Linked DNA regions of Schizosaccharomyces pombe. The gene in region 1 interacts genetically with each later gene. Each region holds a gene or a part of one and is shown on either strand. Other genes may lie near its edges. The genes, in order: ubc13, sec28, sum2 and pso2.

What was found.
Region 2: mutations in ubc13 (region 1) and sec28 together harm fitness less than expected from each alone (positive genetic interaction), as found in Schizosaccharomyces pombe (one large-scale study listed by BioGRID).
Region 3: mutations in ubc13 (region 1) and sum2 together harm fitness less than expected from each alone (positive genetic interaction), as found in Schizosaccharomyces pombe (one large-scale study listed by BioGRID).
Region 4: mutations in ubc13 (region 1) and pso2 impair growth when combined (synthetic growth defect), as found in Schizosaccharomyces pombe (one large-scale study listed by BioGRID).

What each region holds. Positions count from the first base shown.
Region 1 is NC_003424.3:5,286,680-5,289,776, reverse strand, and holds ubc13 (ubiquitin-conjugating enzyme Ubc13), read left to right. Parts: upstream 1-1,682; 5' UTR 1,683-1,695; coding exon 1,696-1,722; intron 1,723-1,764; coding exon 1,765-1,926; intron 1,927-2,078; coding exon 2,079-2,163; intron 2,164-2,220; coding exon 2,221-2,393; 3' UTR 2,394-2,597; downstream 2,598-3,097. Other genes in the region: SEA complex subunit Sea3, read right to left, coding at 1-1,385; csm1 (microtubule-site clamp monopolin complex subunit Csm1/Pcs1), read right to left, coding at 2,722-2,900, 2,956-3,097. UniProt on the Schizosaccharomyces pombe protein: Has a role in the DNA error-free postreplication repair (PRR) pathway. The ubc13/spm2 heterodimer catalyzes the synthesis of non-canonical poly-ubiquitin chains that are linked through 'Lys-63'.
Region 2 is NC_003423.3:2,325,548-2,329,033, reverse strand, and holds sec28 (coatomer epsilon subunit protein), read right to left. Parts: upstream 1,561-3,486; 5' UTR 1,529-1,560; coding exon 1,498-1,528; exon of another isoform or gene 1,454-1,497; coding exon 618-1,453; 3' UTR 533-617; downstream 1-532. Other genes in the region: put2 (delta-1-pyrroline-5-carboxylate dehydrogenase), read right to left, coding at 2,132-3,486. UniProt on the Schizosaccharomyces pombe protein: The coatomer is a cytosolic protein complex that binds to dilysine motifs and reversibly associates with Golgi non-clathrin-coated vesicles, which further mediate biosynthetic protein transport from the ER, via the Golgi up to the trans Golgi network.
Region 3 is NC_003423.3:265,427-269,913, reverse strand, and holds sum2 (translation initiation inhibitor), read right to left. Parts: upstream 2,459-4,487; 5' UTR 2,425-2,458; coding exon 2,372-2,424; exon of another isoform or gene 2,334-2,371; coding exon 2,275-2,333; exon of another isoform or gene 2,237-2,274; coding exon 2,055-2,236; exon of another isoform or gene 1,947-2,054; coding exon 960-1,946; 3' UTR 506-959; downstream 1-505. Other genes in the region: SPOM_SPBC800.14C (uncharacterized protein), read left to right, coding at 1-207; trm6 (translation initiation factor eIF-3 gamma subunit Gcd10), read right to left, coding at 3,016-4,309, 4,446-4,487. UniProt on the Schizosaccharomyces pombe protein: Required for G2/M phase checkpoint control.
Region 4 is NC_003424.3:1,155,987-1,161,499, forward strand, and holds pso2 (DNA 5' exonuclease), read right to left. Parts: upstream 3,497-5,513; 5' UTR 2,807-3,496; coding exon 1,124-2,806; 3' UTR 501-1,123; downstream 1-500. Other genes in the region: protein mug103, read right to left, coding at 3,640-4,014; COP9/signalosome complex subunit Csn4, read right to left, coding at 4,233-5,366. UniProt on the Schizosaccharomyces pombe protein: Required for DNA interstrand cross-link repair. This requires cleavage of cross-linked DNA to generate DNA double strand breaks (DSBs).

The DNA.
Region 1 (3,097 bases):
CTTGCTTTCCATACTGGAGAATCAGTGGTAATTAAATGCTCAGGCTCCTCTGTTGACTTTTCATAGTTCCAAAACTTAACTGTTCGATCCATAGCACAAGTTAATAGGCGAGTTTCACATGCTCTATTGAATTCAAGACCATTAATTTTAGTAATATTTTCGGAAGTTTTAATTGTATGAAGTGGGGCGGATCCATAACGATCGTCCCAAATCCTTACTAAACGTCCATGGCTAGAAGCAAGTATGTGGGGATTTTTATAATTCCATTTTACCTGAGTAGCTCCGTTATGCCAATCGTAAAAGGAGTTAACAGGAAATCGAGGACTACGCAAATCCCAACAGTGAACAGAGGAATCAATTGAACAAGTGGCAAGAACATCAGGATTTTGCCGATGCCAGTTCATATCTGTGACGGCGCGGGTGTGTCCATGTAACATAAATTCTATAGCACGATCATTTGGTAGTGCAAGGTTCCATACTATCGTTTTTTGACTTGATGTAGAAACCACCCATTGGTCTCTTGCGGCATGAACATTCCACTGAGTATCAGCAACTTCCCAAGGAGTAGAATGTCTTAGCATTCTTGGTGGATTATAAGGATTATCAAGATCTAAGACTAGTAAACCATAACGTGAAGCTAAAGCTATATCTCTACCACAAGGAGATAAAGACATAGCACCCACTGGTTGATTAACTTCAATTGATAATTGTCTATCAAACGTAGTACTATCAAAAGGGCCGTATTCCACATTGCTGTTAGAATTCGATGGTAACTGCAAGTCTTCATCTTCGGAAGGGATGATGACCGTGGAATCCATATTTCTTCGCAACCGACCAGAAACACCCTGAGAGTTAAAAGATATTCGACGAGATCCATAACTACCATCGTCAAAAGAAGAAGATGATATGGAAGTTAAACCTTGCAACCTTTGTGTCGGTGTTTGAGAATATGCAACAATGGTACTAGACCTTACACTTTCTGAAAAATTTGCAAAGGAGTTAGAAGCTTTTTTAATTAATATCTTAGAATCGTTTAGCTTATTGTCCAACGTTTCTGAGTGATCTTTAGAGATTGTTGACGATGAAGCTAGTTGATCACCGTCTTGTGCAGTGTTTGATTGAGCGCTTAGAGCAGTGGACGATTCATGGATCATTGATTCAAGACTGTCTTTCTCCAATTCAAAGTTGCATAATTCCCCGCTATCATCCATATTATAGTATGAAGATGGGTTTTCAGAATTAAATTGCTTATTGGGGTAATTCAAGGTACGTTCATCTTGAAGAGATTTCAATGAATGTTCATAATCAATAGGCGAAGAATTTTTTACAACCGAATCACTCGGAGGAGACTTTCTTGAAGAATCGTCTCCCTGTAATTCCCTCATCTTTTTCGATATGGGCCAGGTGACTGTAGCAATTTCAGGATTCTGAATCTTTTTTTTTATAAAAAAACAAATTAAATTTTATACAATATTATGAATATTAATAATAATAAACTAAGAAGCCATGGCTACTTGTCAATTGCTAATACTATTCTTAGCTAGAGCCGTGGAGATTTTATTATCACTCACTATTTGTATTATGTTTTACGTCACTCCTTATATAGAATAGTGTATCAATCTCTCCAGTTTCTCCTTAAACCAAGTACTTATTGTGTGTACAGCATGCATTCTAGGAAGTCCAAGTATATGAACAATGGCTTTGCCTAAGCGTATTATTAAGGTTTGCGCTTTCTGTTAGCATTTTTCAACTAATAATTGGTAGGAAATTGAAACCCTTACGAGAGATCCTCCACCCGGAATTGTAGCGGCTCCCACTGAAGATAATCTTCGCTATTTTAAAATTACTATGGAAGGGCCTCAGCAATCAGCTTATGAAGGTGGAAAATTTCACTTAGAGCTGTTTCTTCCTGATGAGTATCCAATGGTAGGTTTTTTTTGAAAACACAGTATTGAGCCTACCATGGTCCTTTTGCTAGCCCTGCTAGTTCAACAAAAATTTGAAGAATGGCATTGTCAGTTTCAAACTGTCTTCAAAAAATTGTATAATTGTGTAATTTGAGTTTTAACAACTATTAGATGCCTCCCAATGTTCGTTTTCTTACTAAAATTTATCATCCAAACGTTGATAAATTAGGTCGCATATGTTTATCTACGTTAAAAAGTATGTTAAACTTCACACGTTTCATCTTATTTTGGTGTACTAACATTAATAAATCAGAGGATTGGAGTCCTGCTTTACAAATTCGAACCGTGCTACTTTCGATACAGGCATTAATGGGTGCTCCCAACCCAGATGACCCTTTAGACAATGATGTTGCAAAGATTTGGAAAGAAAATGAGCCACAGGCAATTGCAAATGCCCGTGAATGGACGAAAAAGTATGCAGTTTGATTACTTATGATAGTCCAATGCTTATGGTTATCACTAGAATAATAATATATTACGATATCAATAGCTTTCTATATACAGTCTTTGATTTGAATTCTACCCATTTCCTTAAGTTTTTTGCATTCAATTTTTTCCTAAGCGGTTAAGGTCTTTTCGAATAAAAGATGTAAAAATTAATAATAGATAATTATGGTAGCAGAATACAAACATCGCAGCTTTTGACGGACGATGAAAAAAGTGATATCTCGACGAGCACAATTAATTTAAGATATAGTGCTATTCATATAACAAGGAAGTATTAAAGTTTAAGCAAAATCCATAGTTATTATTGTTAATCTTGCAAAGCTTTCATTAATCTAGCAGAAAATAATTTTCCTTGTTCTTTCGTAAAGATAATTTCCTCCAACAAATAGTCTGGTAAATGTTTCATAAGCTCCTCATCAGTTTGAACATTCAGACGTGGAGTAAATGTAAAGTTTTGATCATCTAACAAGAGCTGATATTCGAGTGCTATAATAATATCCTGTTAGCTTGAAATTATTTCTAAATCCCTTAAAGCACTTACTCCCTCTCCTTCCAGTGTTTTTACAGTTGAAACGATATCCATCCTCGTCCTCTATACAGTCTGCAACTTCTAATCCGAAAAGCTCCTTTATAAGTATATTAATTTTTGAATAGTTTTTTATTTGCTCTCGAGTTTTCAATAA
Region 2 (3,486 bases), on another chromosome or scaffold:
ATAGTTGTAATCTGTCATGGTGCCACTGCCGTTTGAGCAAGTTCATCTTCGATTCTTAAAGTCTTATCGTTTAATATCGGTTTTCTTGCTTTTTCCAAATTCCAAACACCTGTGTATTTCAAAACATCTTTCTTTTCTATTTGTAAAGGCAAACTTGTTGCTTGTCATTTTGTGGCACTGCAGGTTTTGAGTAATTTTGGACAAGAACCACCTATTCTAGATTTTTAAAAACAAATATATAGGTGGATAGTCATAATAGTTCATTTTTAATTAATGAATGTATTTGATAAATAAAAGTAAACGGTTTAAAGACGCTCCTGTTGTGACGGCGTTCATTTAAATGTTTCATTTCGAGATATATTCGGGTGCGTTTTCTTGTTATTATGTCTACATGAGTCTTCTTCTGCATGCGGTTAAGTATTTCTAATTAATTAGTTTAATACCTTTACTTCTGGTAAACTTGAAATTTATCGAGGCAATACTGGATTGACTTGCTTTGCCAGACAGATCAACGAGCCATTACTTGAGTGAAGCAATAGTCAATGAATAAATACTAAAAATGCAAACATTTGAAGTTTATTAATGGATTGAAGATTCTAAACAATATTATTATTGGATTAAGCCGTACTCAAAAATTGAGTTGAAAAAGTATCAAATTCTTGCGCCTTTTCATTTAAATGATCGTTCAACTTCAGTGTAGAAGAATTTGTAAAAGATGAAAGTATATTCTTGGCTTGAGAAGGAGCATCAGGGCCTAAATCCGTGATTGCAGTAGTCATATTTGATAGTGCCTCCTCGTAATTTGGTTGAGAATCGAGGGCAGTTTTCAGCGAGCTCAAAGCCTCTTCAGGTCTCAACAAGCATATGTCTGCACACGCCATACCAGTTAAAGTCATTGGATTGCTATCAGTTCCGTTTAACTCTTCAAAAACATAAAATGCATCATTATAGGATTCGACGCCTCCACTAACTATTTTAATCCAAGATTGTGCCAGCTGTAGTACAATTTCTTCATCAGCCCAATCCAAAGCCTGTTTCAATGTCTGTTCAGCAGCTTCAATTTTGTGCTCTCGTAAATGAATGTATACTTGAAGCGCCACCGCCTCCAAGTTCTCTACTGACTTCTTTAATAAATCCATTGCATCATCAAAAGAACCATTTTTAATTTGAAAAATAGCTCCTAATGTTTGTACCACACTGTCTGAATTGCCATGCTGGTCAATAATTAACTCCATGTTCCCCTCCCCAGCCAGCGCCAGAATAGCAGCTGATCCAGGCGTTTTTTGAGTTAAAATACTTTGGATTGATTCTAAACTTTCACCTAAAGCTAATTTTGCCCTTGCCATATAAATTTCGGTCAATTCAAGACCTTTTTCAGACATGGATGTCGTGTCAATTTCAAATAACTTTGTATAGTTTCCACTATAAAAGTATTGACGAACAAAATACAGTTCTATCAAATATTAGTTGTTATTTAATTCCCAACTCATCTCTTACCATTAGATAAACTAGCCTCCCATGAAAACATGTTAAAAGTTTTAATTATGTTGGGCGATGTGTGGAGTAGAGAGTATGTGGGTTAATGGTGTTTGTACATGAGTAACCCTACAACAAAATGTAAAGCAAACGAACTTTCCATCAAGACTTGTAATTTTTCTAATTGCTCCGAAGCCTAATATAATATATTTCGCAGTCAGCAAGTAAAATGTTCGATAATTGAGATCCTTTTTCTACAGGTCGTTGTTGTATTCAAGAATCACCAGCAAACTACATTTTGGTCCACTGGCTTTTATATACAATGCAACAAATCTAGTGTTATAAATCAATACATGTTAACAAAGCGAACATTATAATTTATTAGAATAACAAATGGCGAGCTTTAAAAAAAAAGAAAAAAAAAAATTGTAAAACCTAGACTACCTTTGAAAGTTTGAGTTTAACTCAAGGTAACTAATCAATATATATATATATATATACTTCCTTTATTCCTCACATATTGTACTAAACCCAAAAAAAAAAAGGTTGTGGTCTTTTTTATGGCAGTATCAAAGTACAGAGTAAAACACTCTACAACTCCAATGTCTATCTAAATTCTAAAAATTAAATCCAAATCAAAAAGGCCAAAACAAACTTAAAAGTTGGAAGGGTATAAAACAGAGTCTGCATAAGCAAACGTATCTTTGATGGAGCGAGGAGAAACGAATCGAGACAGAATCATTCCGCTACCAGCTTTATCGTTAGTACCACTGGCACGAGCACCACCAAAAGGTTGTTCACCAACAACAGCACCAGTACACTTATCATTGATATAGAAGTTACCAGCGGCATTACGGAGACGGTCAGTCAACTTTCTGACAACAACACGGTCCTGAGCGAAGATGGATCCGGTTAAACCATAAGGAGTGGTAGTATCGATGAGATCGCAAACAGCGTCTAAGTTGTCATCCTCATATACATAAACAGACAGTACGGGGCCGAACAATTCGTTAACGAATATATCATGTTTAGGGTTTTTAGAAAGTAAAACGGTAGGTTCAACAAAGAAACCTTCGGAATCATCAGCTTTACCGCCAGCCAAAACTTCAATTTCAGAATCGGAAGCAGCACTCTCAAGAACCTTCTTCAGTTTGTTAAAGCTTGCTTGATGGATAACAGGGCCCACAAAATTAGCAAAATCAGTTAAAGGAGCACCGACCTTAAGAGACTTGACCTGTTTGGTAAGCTCATCACGGAAACCATTTTCCCAAGCATACTTAGAAACGTAAAGACGAGAAAGGGCAGAGCACTTTTGGCCTTGATATTCGAAAGCAGCACGAACAGCATTAACAACGGCACTCTTAATTTCAGCGGAAGAATGTACAAGATGAAAGTTCTTACCACCAGTCTCACCGACGATTTTGGGGTAAGTGCGGTATTTTCCGTTGGCAACATTCTCGCCAATTGTTCCCCAAAGGCTACGAAAGACGGCTGTGCTACCAGTAAAATGAAGACCAGCAAACTCAGGGTGGTTGAAACAAACCTTGGAGACTTCAACAGCGTCACCAGGGATAAATTGAAGTGCTCCAGCGGGAAGACCAGCTTCACGGAAGATTTGGTAAACAATGTAGCTAGAAAGGACTGCATGGTCAGAAGGCTTCATTAAAACGACGTTGCCCATGAGAAGGGGGGCAGCAGCCAAGTTACCAGCAATAGCTGTAAAGTTGAAAGGAGTAATGGCATAAACGAAACCTTCCAAAGGACGATATTCCATACGGTTCCAGACACCAGGAGTGTTTTCGGGAGGTTGGCTGGCATATAATTCACTAGCATACTTGGTATTGAAGCGAAGGAAGTCAATGATCTCCATTCCAGCGTCAATTTCAGCTTGCCAGATGTTCTTACCCTGGCCAATCATTGTAGCAGCCATGAGCTTGTAACGGTACTTGGTGCTTATCAAATGAGCAGCCTTCAAGAAAATGGCAGAACGGTCAGCAAAAGGTAAGGATT
Region 3 (4,487 bases), on another chromosome or scaffold:
CTATGTATTATTCCTTTCACGCTTTTGTTTATGAAAAAGGACATTAACTCTTTACAAACGTTAAATCCAGATCTAATACTTAAAGATGTAAAGGCTACTCAAAATTTCCGCAGTATAATTCACAGATGGGGTTTTAAAAACTTATTTCGAAGCGCATTTATGTTTTTCTCTGGTTTAGCTTCAATCGCTGGATCAATTTACTTTTGATAACAAAACATAATTGTAATGTATCGTTTACGTGTTAACTCTTGCGTTCCGATATTCGTTGATGATCAAATAATATTAAGTTCTAATTTTTCTACTGCTGATTATTAAAACACTATATCACGTAGTTAAGTTCGTGAAATTTAAACTATTAAAAAATGCTAAAATTAAGAGAGCACATTTTTATTTTTAAAACGATTCGCTTATAAATTGTTCATACTGCTCAAACATTGTTGTTTGGATTCTATAGTTTGTCAGCTTCAAACAAGTCGACTGAATCAAATTTTTACAAAACGCTTTTCAAAAACGAAACGACTGTTGAAAAACACGGGTTGTTCAATGTTCAGTCATGCAACCAGCGATGCTTTGGGTCTATCAAGGTGTATAAAAGAATAAACATTAGCGGATTGGTTAAGTCTTCAACCTTTTGGTAATTATATGTAACCCATTAACATTTATTCGTAATACCTTTACGAAATCTCGGTATAGGATATCGTTTCAATGCTTGTTCTTCTTGCGTAATACATGAGCAGATAAGTATAGTTTTTAAAGCACTCTACAAGAACTTAACAAAACTCCTAAGTTAAATATCAAATAACAACGACTAATCCTTTTGGTTTATATAAGAGAACACCTTTTTTCGGGTCGTTAAATACATGTCCATAAATTTTGAGTTCATCATGATTGAAACGAAGACGAAGCTCAATCTAGAGAAACGAGGATACTTCATCTGTACTCATTATAAGAAATGCAGTTCATTGGTCGTTTGCAGGCTGGGCTCTAGGTTGAGAGCCATTGGAATTCCTGTATTGGTTATATTGATTTCTTGCATATCCACGTCCACGACCTCTACCACCACGTCCACGACCACGTCCACGACGGCCGCGATTTCCAGAGCCAGCAACGCCAAATGTCTCCATGTTCAAAGAACGTTCGCGATCTCGTAGAGCTCTTCTATCTGCAGCTTCCATACCCTTCTCTTTACTTTCACAACTAATATTATCAAAAAAAGATTGCTTAGGCTTGTAAAATTCTTCGGCTTCTTCATCATTTTTTCCTTTTAACAAATCATCTTTCATCGATTGAAACTTTTGATTTGCAGTTTGAAAGTCAAATTCGGTACGAGGCTTTGCAGCACTAGCATCAGGTTGAGTTGTAGGAACTTCTTTAGAAGGTCCAGATGTTTCAACGGTTTGGGATTGAGAGACATCCACAGTAGTATTCACAACACGGTCATTTGTGACAGTGGAATTCCGTATACTAGTACTTTCTTTTTCAATAGATGCTTCAATGGAGGGCTGTGCACCTGGTATCACTCCATTCGTGGGCGGCATGGATTGAAGAGACGGAGATGCAGATACCGCGGTAGGACCAGGAGCAGGCATGCCCGGAGCAAAGTTGGGAGGCTTCTGGTTTGAAGGCATTCCGTATCCAGGACGTACGTTGTACGGGGCCTGACCGGCAAACCCTTGAGAAACATTTTGAGCAAACTCAGGACGTTGACCCATTTGCTGTTGATCAGGTGCCCCATAATACGGGACCGCAGGTGTGGATGCGTCTAAGGGAGTACCCAAAGGCAAACCTCCAGGAGGTACAAATTGAGCGGGAGCATTCGGGTACATATAGTAAGGTGCACCTGCTGGAGGAGCCTGTTGGTATGGAGCTCCATAAGGGTTAGGTTGAACAGGCTGAGGAGGTTGGGCAGTCTGCGCTTGGTTCCAATTATACTGCCCGCTATTAGACTAATTATAGTTAAAATCATGATCTTGTCAGATATATAAAGAGTGCCAAAGATAATTAATACTAGATATACTAATGAGAATCTCCACCACTCTTTAGACGTAACATACCCCAATAATTGCAGGATCATTAGGAGGTTGAACCGGGGGAGCAGAAGGAGTAGTAGCAGGTTCCTCAATCCGTAAATCTTTAACATCGCTTCCACGAAAAACAATGTAATCAAATACATTATCTGATGGGGGGATTTCTTGAGAGGGATCTTGTTTTCTTCCTTCAGTACCACACCAACGGACTAAACTGTTAGTAATCAATGCTGGGTACTCAACCTACCATGCTTCAAAGCCAGTGTTGAGTCCTGGGAATTGATGTCCTGCAAAATGCCCACATAACTAAATATTAGTAAAGGAAAGATAATGCTCTCACGTACCGAATGTCAGATTTGCTAATTAGACTAATACGAGAACCAATAAATTCAGTCATTGGTTATAAACTCGACGAAGTAAAGCTTAGTGGTGAAAGGAGCGTGGTTAGGTGTCCTTTCGAAATTAACGAACTTGGCGATAGCGCTAGTATGGGGTTCATTATACCGAGTAAATAAGACCAAAATGCGACATTGTCATTTATAAGCTGTTTTTTCATCAGTTTTTATATTTATTTAAAATTAACATGCTTAAGATCAAAAAGGCTATCCACAGCTGCTCTGACCATGTACTACTTATTTTACTTAAATACGTATATGTGCAGCAGTCAAATTGTAACTAATTTTATACTTATTACAAGTAATCTATTTTTAAAAAGAATGAAAATGCCAAGCAAAAGACACTGTACTTTAACGCTCTTCAAAATTGAGTTAACCTGAAACCGCACCGTCAATTACATTATCCAACTAACATATTCATTTTCTGATACGTATGAAAATTTTAAGTTAAAGAATGAAACAAAAAACTTTTTAATATAACAAAAACCTTTTCCCAATTCAACGTAACTGAGTTTATGTCCAAAATTGTAACTCCCCTTGTTGATCTAATAGAGTAGCCTTGAAAAAAATATTCCAAAAGTAATATTTCATATCTAATTTTCCAATTTTGCTTTTTTGACAGAAGAAGTTTCTTTCTGGCCCTTACGTTTTGGAAACCTTCCGGCAGCTAGATTGCTGTCAGAAGTTAACACCTTGATCCCAGATAAAACGAAACCCATATCACCCCTAACAGTCATGAATGGATGAGTCCTTTCTGGCAAGACTTGGTAAGGTCGTGTACGAATCTCATGAATATCCAGCATGATGACTTTCTCTTTCTGTGTATCAATAGCAACGTCTCCTTGATCAACCTTTTCGTCATTTTCAGTACTTTGAGCTGTCTTTTCTACAAATAAGTTATCCCATTTAGATAATTGATGATACGTCTCGACTAAGACTTGCTGATATGTTGAGTATACCATGAAAGGACGTGATATACCGAGCTTTGGAAGAAGATGTTGAAGAACAGACATTGGGGTGTGAATAGATAGTATAAAGAGAGCATCATAGTTACCACTTTCAAAATCATCAATAGTATTCTTCAAACGGTTAAATGTAGCTTTCTTCGTTTCATAGCGCTTACGGTGGCGAAGTTTCATCTCATTCAACTCTGATTCAGGAATATCTTCAACCGAATACTCACTTAAAGTCTCGGTTGGATTCGTAACTTGATACCAATTCAAAGTTTTCAAAATCCCTTTTTGAACCAAACTATCCTCTTTAAAGTCTTGCCCCCAATACTCTAAACAAGAGCTATTAGGTTGCTCATTTGGATGGACCAGGGTTATTTTGCAATCACCAGCAACACGGTCAATAAGAGAACCAAGGAACATGCATCCAGTCTCATCAACTACCAAATATCTACCCCCAGGTTTAACATTTCCAAGAGTAAGCATCAAGCTTATACACTCGGCAGTAAGATCAAGTATCTTATACGGATCATGTTCAATCATGTAATTAGCCACAACTTCAACACAAGGTCGTAAAACCTGAAAGCGTTGAAGATACTTTTCCCCTTTTCTCGTAACATATTTCTCCTGAGCAAATAAAGTTTTTTGCTCAAAAGTTTTACTACTATTAGTCAACTGTTTGATGGCCTCTTCAGCACGAAGTCCACCAGCTTTAATGTTTGCGCGCAGTTCATCAATCTCCTCTTGAGTCATAAGCTGATTGCCTCGACAATCATTAAGTTCTTGATTCGTTTTCTTTTCTTCCTCGATATACTGTACCTCCCTTGTTTTTAAAACTCGAATTTTTTTGGGTTGATAAATTTCAAAAGTTTCGTCAAAATGCTTTCCAAACAAATCATCAGCGAGAAATGAACCAAATTTTCCGAGGTGAATTGTACTATTTAATATAAAGTCAGTAAGATCAATATGAACGAGATAAACTAGATCACCTCTATCTCCTTATGCAAAAAACAATTTCAATTGCTATCATTGAAAATGTACTTTAAATTGTAAATTAAGATCCTCATACTTACTTGTTTGGTTTCAATGTTACAAAACGAACATTGTCTGAAGGA
Region 4 (5,513 bases), 4.1 Mb from region 1:
TTTTAACTATTTTTTTTCGATATTTTGTTTTGTTTGAAACGAACAACATCAAGACTCATCGCATAATTCATATATACTCTGGACTGATAGGCATTCATGCTTTCCATCTTTGAGTTATATTGGATATCAAATTTCTATACTGCTATTATCAAAGTTATGTTGCTATTTATTTTGGATCCTAGTTTATTTTATGCCACCTTTTGGAGTGGGAGAATTTTATGACTTGCTAAATCTGTTAATTACGGGTATTAATTACCTATAGATTCATTGGGAAGAAATTATTTATTGATAATTTCATATCTTTATCTGTATTCAACTACAATAACTTTGTTTTAGTCAGTCTTTTGTTGACTAGGCTTCCATAAATCCCAACAATATTTCATATTTCAATCATTTTTTACTGTCTTTTTGTTATTACTTTTTATAATTTTGTTATATATTTTTTTATTTTATTTTATTTTTCTTCTCTCTTAACACCCTTTGCTGGACTGTTGGAATTTTTTTTTGGTTATTTATGAGTAGCTTGATTTTTTTTCCATTAAATTATTTTCGTTGTTTCTCTGTAGTGGAAATTTGAATCTTGAGCTCCTTCGCCTATGATGTTTCAACTCTCGGGGCAATGTTTTATGAGAATTTTTTATACTAAGGTTCATCGTTCATCAATGGCGAATGCTATTACAAAAAAATTAGAAAAAAAATTGATGATGTGTTTTATAATGAAAGGTGTTTATTTGATGACAATTCGTTGTAGATTGCTCTATTATTATAATTAAAAAAAATAGAAAATTAGCCTAAATGAACTAATGTTAAGTATTCGATCATAAAAAAACGAAGCTCAAAGAAAGTTTAAAAGTTTTGGATTATTTGCAAGCTCATAGTTTGATTTAAATGAATATACACCTACACTTTGGTGTCATTTTTTTGTATAATCTTGTATTAGCACTCCTGAAACTAAAAAAAAAAATAAAATATAGAAGGATAAAGGATTGGCATAGTAAAGCATACATACAAAAACATTTTGCTCACATTAACATTAATTATAAGAACCATAAATAATAGCTACAGACAAGCTCGTATAACCCTAAAAGAAACAGAAAGGAAAATTATTGTGGTAGATTTTGGTTTACCAATCCACATTTTCCAATGAAAGTAGGCCTTGTTTCTTTCGGCGCCAAGCCCAACGATCTAGCCATACATTCATCTTTTCACGAGACCGTTGACTACCCACATTTACAGTTGGGATAATATGTCCAATGTTCATCGACAGACAAAACATAGTTAAATCATAAAAGCTCGAGTGTTCACTGTAAGGGGCTACAAAAGCTGCCACTTTGTCGGTGCTTCCTCTAATCGCTCTTAAATCGTATTCCACAAATTTCGGTGGTCTGGAAATTATCGAGTCTAAGCTACTGCTAAGTTGTGCACGATTTTCCAAGGGTTGAAATGTCCAGCCAGTAACTTTGTACCCTATGATCTTATCAAAGGAACTATTGTATTGTTCCAAATAGTCAAGAAGCGAATTCGGATGTATTCCCATCATAGTGACCATATGTACGGAAGCTTGCGTAGGATCATCCGTTAATAAATCTATTAAATCTTGATTTTCAAGTTGTTTAATAATATGCATTTTTCGAGGAACCACATAAATCCGTGAAGAAAGAGATTTTGCAATAGCAACGGCTACTTTTTCTTTCCCGATGCTATAAGTGCTAACTACTACCAAAAGCCTAGAATCTGTTGACTTCTTGATAGATATTGCTTTGTCGGCGCAAGCTTGAACAACATCCGCTTGGGGTGGAAAAGTATATTTAGGATTCAAGTATGTAGTGTCCAAATAAACTTTATGAATGGTCTTCTCTCGTAAAACAGGATGCATAACGTGATCCTTAGAAGCGCGGAAATCTCCACAGTGAAGAACACGTCTTGTTTGATTACTCTGAAGCGTTTCAAAAACAAACATAGCTGATCCTGGACAATGATTAGCATCCAAAACATATACAGTAATACCCATTATATTATATGGTTGATTTAGTTTGAGACGCTTCACATATTGTTCATCAACATGCATGACATTTATTAAAAGATTTCCTGTTACTTCTGAACAGTAAATAGGACCGTGCTTCCATTTTGGAGTTAAACCGCCATAGTGATCAGAATGAAAGTGTGACAAAAAATAAGCTTCAACACCATCAATGGCACCGTAAGCAAATGCGTCAACGGCAAAAGGAATATTATAAGGCATTAATTTATAGAAAGGAACAACAGACCGAACATTAATTTGCTTTCCAGGTAAAGGTAATAACGCCTGTTTACAGGAATCAGATATTGGGAATGTACTCGAATTCGAAGGATCGGCTTTAACGACAGAGTCTTTCTTCAGCTTTTTTGAAACAGCTTCCGTTGTTCTCCCGTCTAGGCAGTCATTGACATGTATATTGGCATCGACAGTTAAAGACTCCAAAGTTATTCCACATATTGGACAAAGAAGCAATTCAGACATGGTTGACTCCTCGTTTTTAACCAGCTCATTTTTTAAAGGTTCTAAGATGTTAGCATCCCCAAAAGATTGCCATTGAGGAGACTCACCCACTTCAGAAGTGAAACTTGGATCATTGAATTGTAATAAGACTTCCTGTGAGAATTTCTCATTTTTTATTTGGGAACTTGAAATTGCATTTTTTACTGTAGAGGGCTTGGTGGTGGAATCAGTTTTTTCAACAGAAACAGCTTCATTACCCCACATGTTTTTGCCATTATTAGATTTTTTAAAAAAATCTAAAATAGACGATGACTTTCGTTTACTCATTTCAGTGAACGTAAACAAAGGCAAAATTATTAGTTTTTTGTTTTTTGGTGTATAAGCAACAACAGTAAGTGATTGAATTCTTTTAAAGGAAGTTATTTCAAAAGTTGTAAAGTTTCGTTTAGCTTAATAATGAAAGCTATTATTCGAGGAAAGACACGATAAATCCGCAAGAATCGCTTAAAAGAAGTCTTGAAGTTAAGGAAACGGCGAGTAGACGTCAAGAGCGACTTTTTCTAATGTACAATGTGTATGAGAAGTCGTAGAATATTAGGTATGCCTTTGAAAGATCAAAACGAAAAAACAAAGGAAACAGATTTAGAAACTTTACCTCTAACTATAAATTTCAAAGTATTAAAAAGTGTTATGGATGAATTATTATGTGACGCTGGATGATCCAAAATTGGTCGGTCAGGATCTGGTCTAAAATGTAAAAAAAAGAAGTATACCTAAGGAAGGGTAATAACTGAAAATTGAAGTAATGAAAAAAAAAGAAAAAAACACCTTAAAAAAAAAGCATCGATTATTCACGAAAATGCGTTTTATTTACAAAAAACTTCGATTTGGAGAAGCTAGTGAGAAATATACTTTCACTGCAGCTTAGCGTTCCTTAATGATTTTAATTTTTTTTCCTTTTACTTTCTTAATGGCCTACAATGGCAATAAGGCCTGTTACTGAAAAGCCTTGCAATTGCACAGTTCAAGGCAAAACACTTAAAAAAAACCCTCTTGGCAAGCATAAAGTAGTCTTCGCTCAAGCTCCTTAAAACAAATCATCAACATGCGAAGGAGTTTTAAGACAAACAGTTAGAAACAGGTGGTAATAATTATAAAAATCAACTTCTACGGTAAAAACGATTTCCTTTTTCCTTTAATAAAAGTTTTCGCGATTTGACGTGTCGTTCCTTTAACATATCTCGGTCATCACTTAAAGGCATGTCCTCACTGTTGATACAATAAGGTCTGTCAGCTAGAAAAGGATTTCGCTTTCTTTTTCTAATTGTATTGTTCCTTTGCAAAGGTGGAAGACATTTGTGGATTACAAAACTGTTAGAAGAAGTATTTTTACTTAGACCAGCGACAAAAGAATATGGAGGTGGAGCTTTATAAATTGATGTAAACCCGTCAATTTCGCATTCTTCTAGTCGAAGATTTTTATTAAAGTAGTAAGGATCAGCATCCGATTCTCTGATTATCTCAAATTGCTCCATTACCAATTGGTACTGCGAATTGGAGTTACAAGCACATGTAAATAATATAAGAACAGGCAGAGAGGGAAGTTACTTATAATGTAAACAAACATTAGCGACCACGAGGTGAAAAAGATACAAATAAGAACGTCAATATTTCTATGACATTATACAATAAATATTATTTTAAATGAATAAAATAGATGAACTATAAAACAGTTTTTTTTTTCACATTTGGTCTAAGAACCGTAATGTTGAAGAACGGTTGCAATTTTATTAACATAATTAGGAAGATTGTTTGCTTTTCCATACTCTGGCAAAAAAGTAATGTATCCTTCACATTGATCGATTGAAGCATTCAATCGTTCTTGTATCACCATATCAGCAACAACTGTATCAACCTGTTCCTCAGAAAGTTTAAAGTGTTTTGCAAGTATAGATGTAGAAGAAACTTCAAAAAACTCTGAAAGAAAAAGGATATTCGTTTCCAAAAAATGTCGACCATCCTCTATCAATCTATTCATATGAATTACTTGGTGAGGAAGTAGAAAAGGCAACAGAAAGGCTCCGTCCTCTTTTCCGATAAACTTTCTTTTAAGGTACTTTTCGACTAGAGAATAAAACGGGATTTCTCGGACGGATGGTTGGAGAGAGATTTCTTGGAGGAACTGCAAAACAATAGGAGAAGGAATCGCTAGAAGTAAACATTGAGCTACTGAACACAAGTTCTCTCTATAAATTAGTTCATTTCCAGGTACTTTATATTGAAGTACCCGATAGTAACATTTCGCAGCTTCTAGGAATTGTCCTGTTTCATCGAGAGCGCGAGCATTGCAAAGTTGAAGTTCCATTAGCAATTGATCATTACTAACTTTAAATGCCAATGGTATACTTGTCCTTACGGTTAAAATTGCTTTTTCAGCTTTTCCTAACTTTAAATAAGCATCTCCTAAACGAATTCTTAATAACAAGAGTTGCTCTAGGTCGTTTTCAAAATGACCATGTTTTTCGACAGCTTCCAATGAAGAACATAAAAGCTCAAAATTTTGCTCAGCTTCATAAATAGTGGCTAATTGTAAACAACAGGAAACCAAATATTCTGAAGGTGCCTCCTCTAACGACTGTACTGGAACATATAATTCAGATATTAACTCTTTCCGTAACTCAAGAGACGAAATGCTAACTGCAACATCAAGTAAAGAAAACAAAACGTCGTTCCGTTTTGCAAAGTTGTTGCTGCCGCAACAAATATTTAAACATCTCTTCGCTTGCTCAAATAGCTCTTTTTCATTTGTATAATGCAAAGCTAATGCTTCTCGAAACTGTGCCACCGGCATATTCCCTTCCAGGAAATAATGAACTACTTCTTCCATTTTGATGGTTTATTGGGAGAAATAATTCAGTGGTGGGAGTGAATGGCTTTTCTTCATTGAATGTGAGTTTGGTAAGAGTAGCAAAATCAAAGTTTCGCACCTCTAGCTTAATGGCAATCAACTAATTAAAGTATCGTAATTTAATAA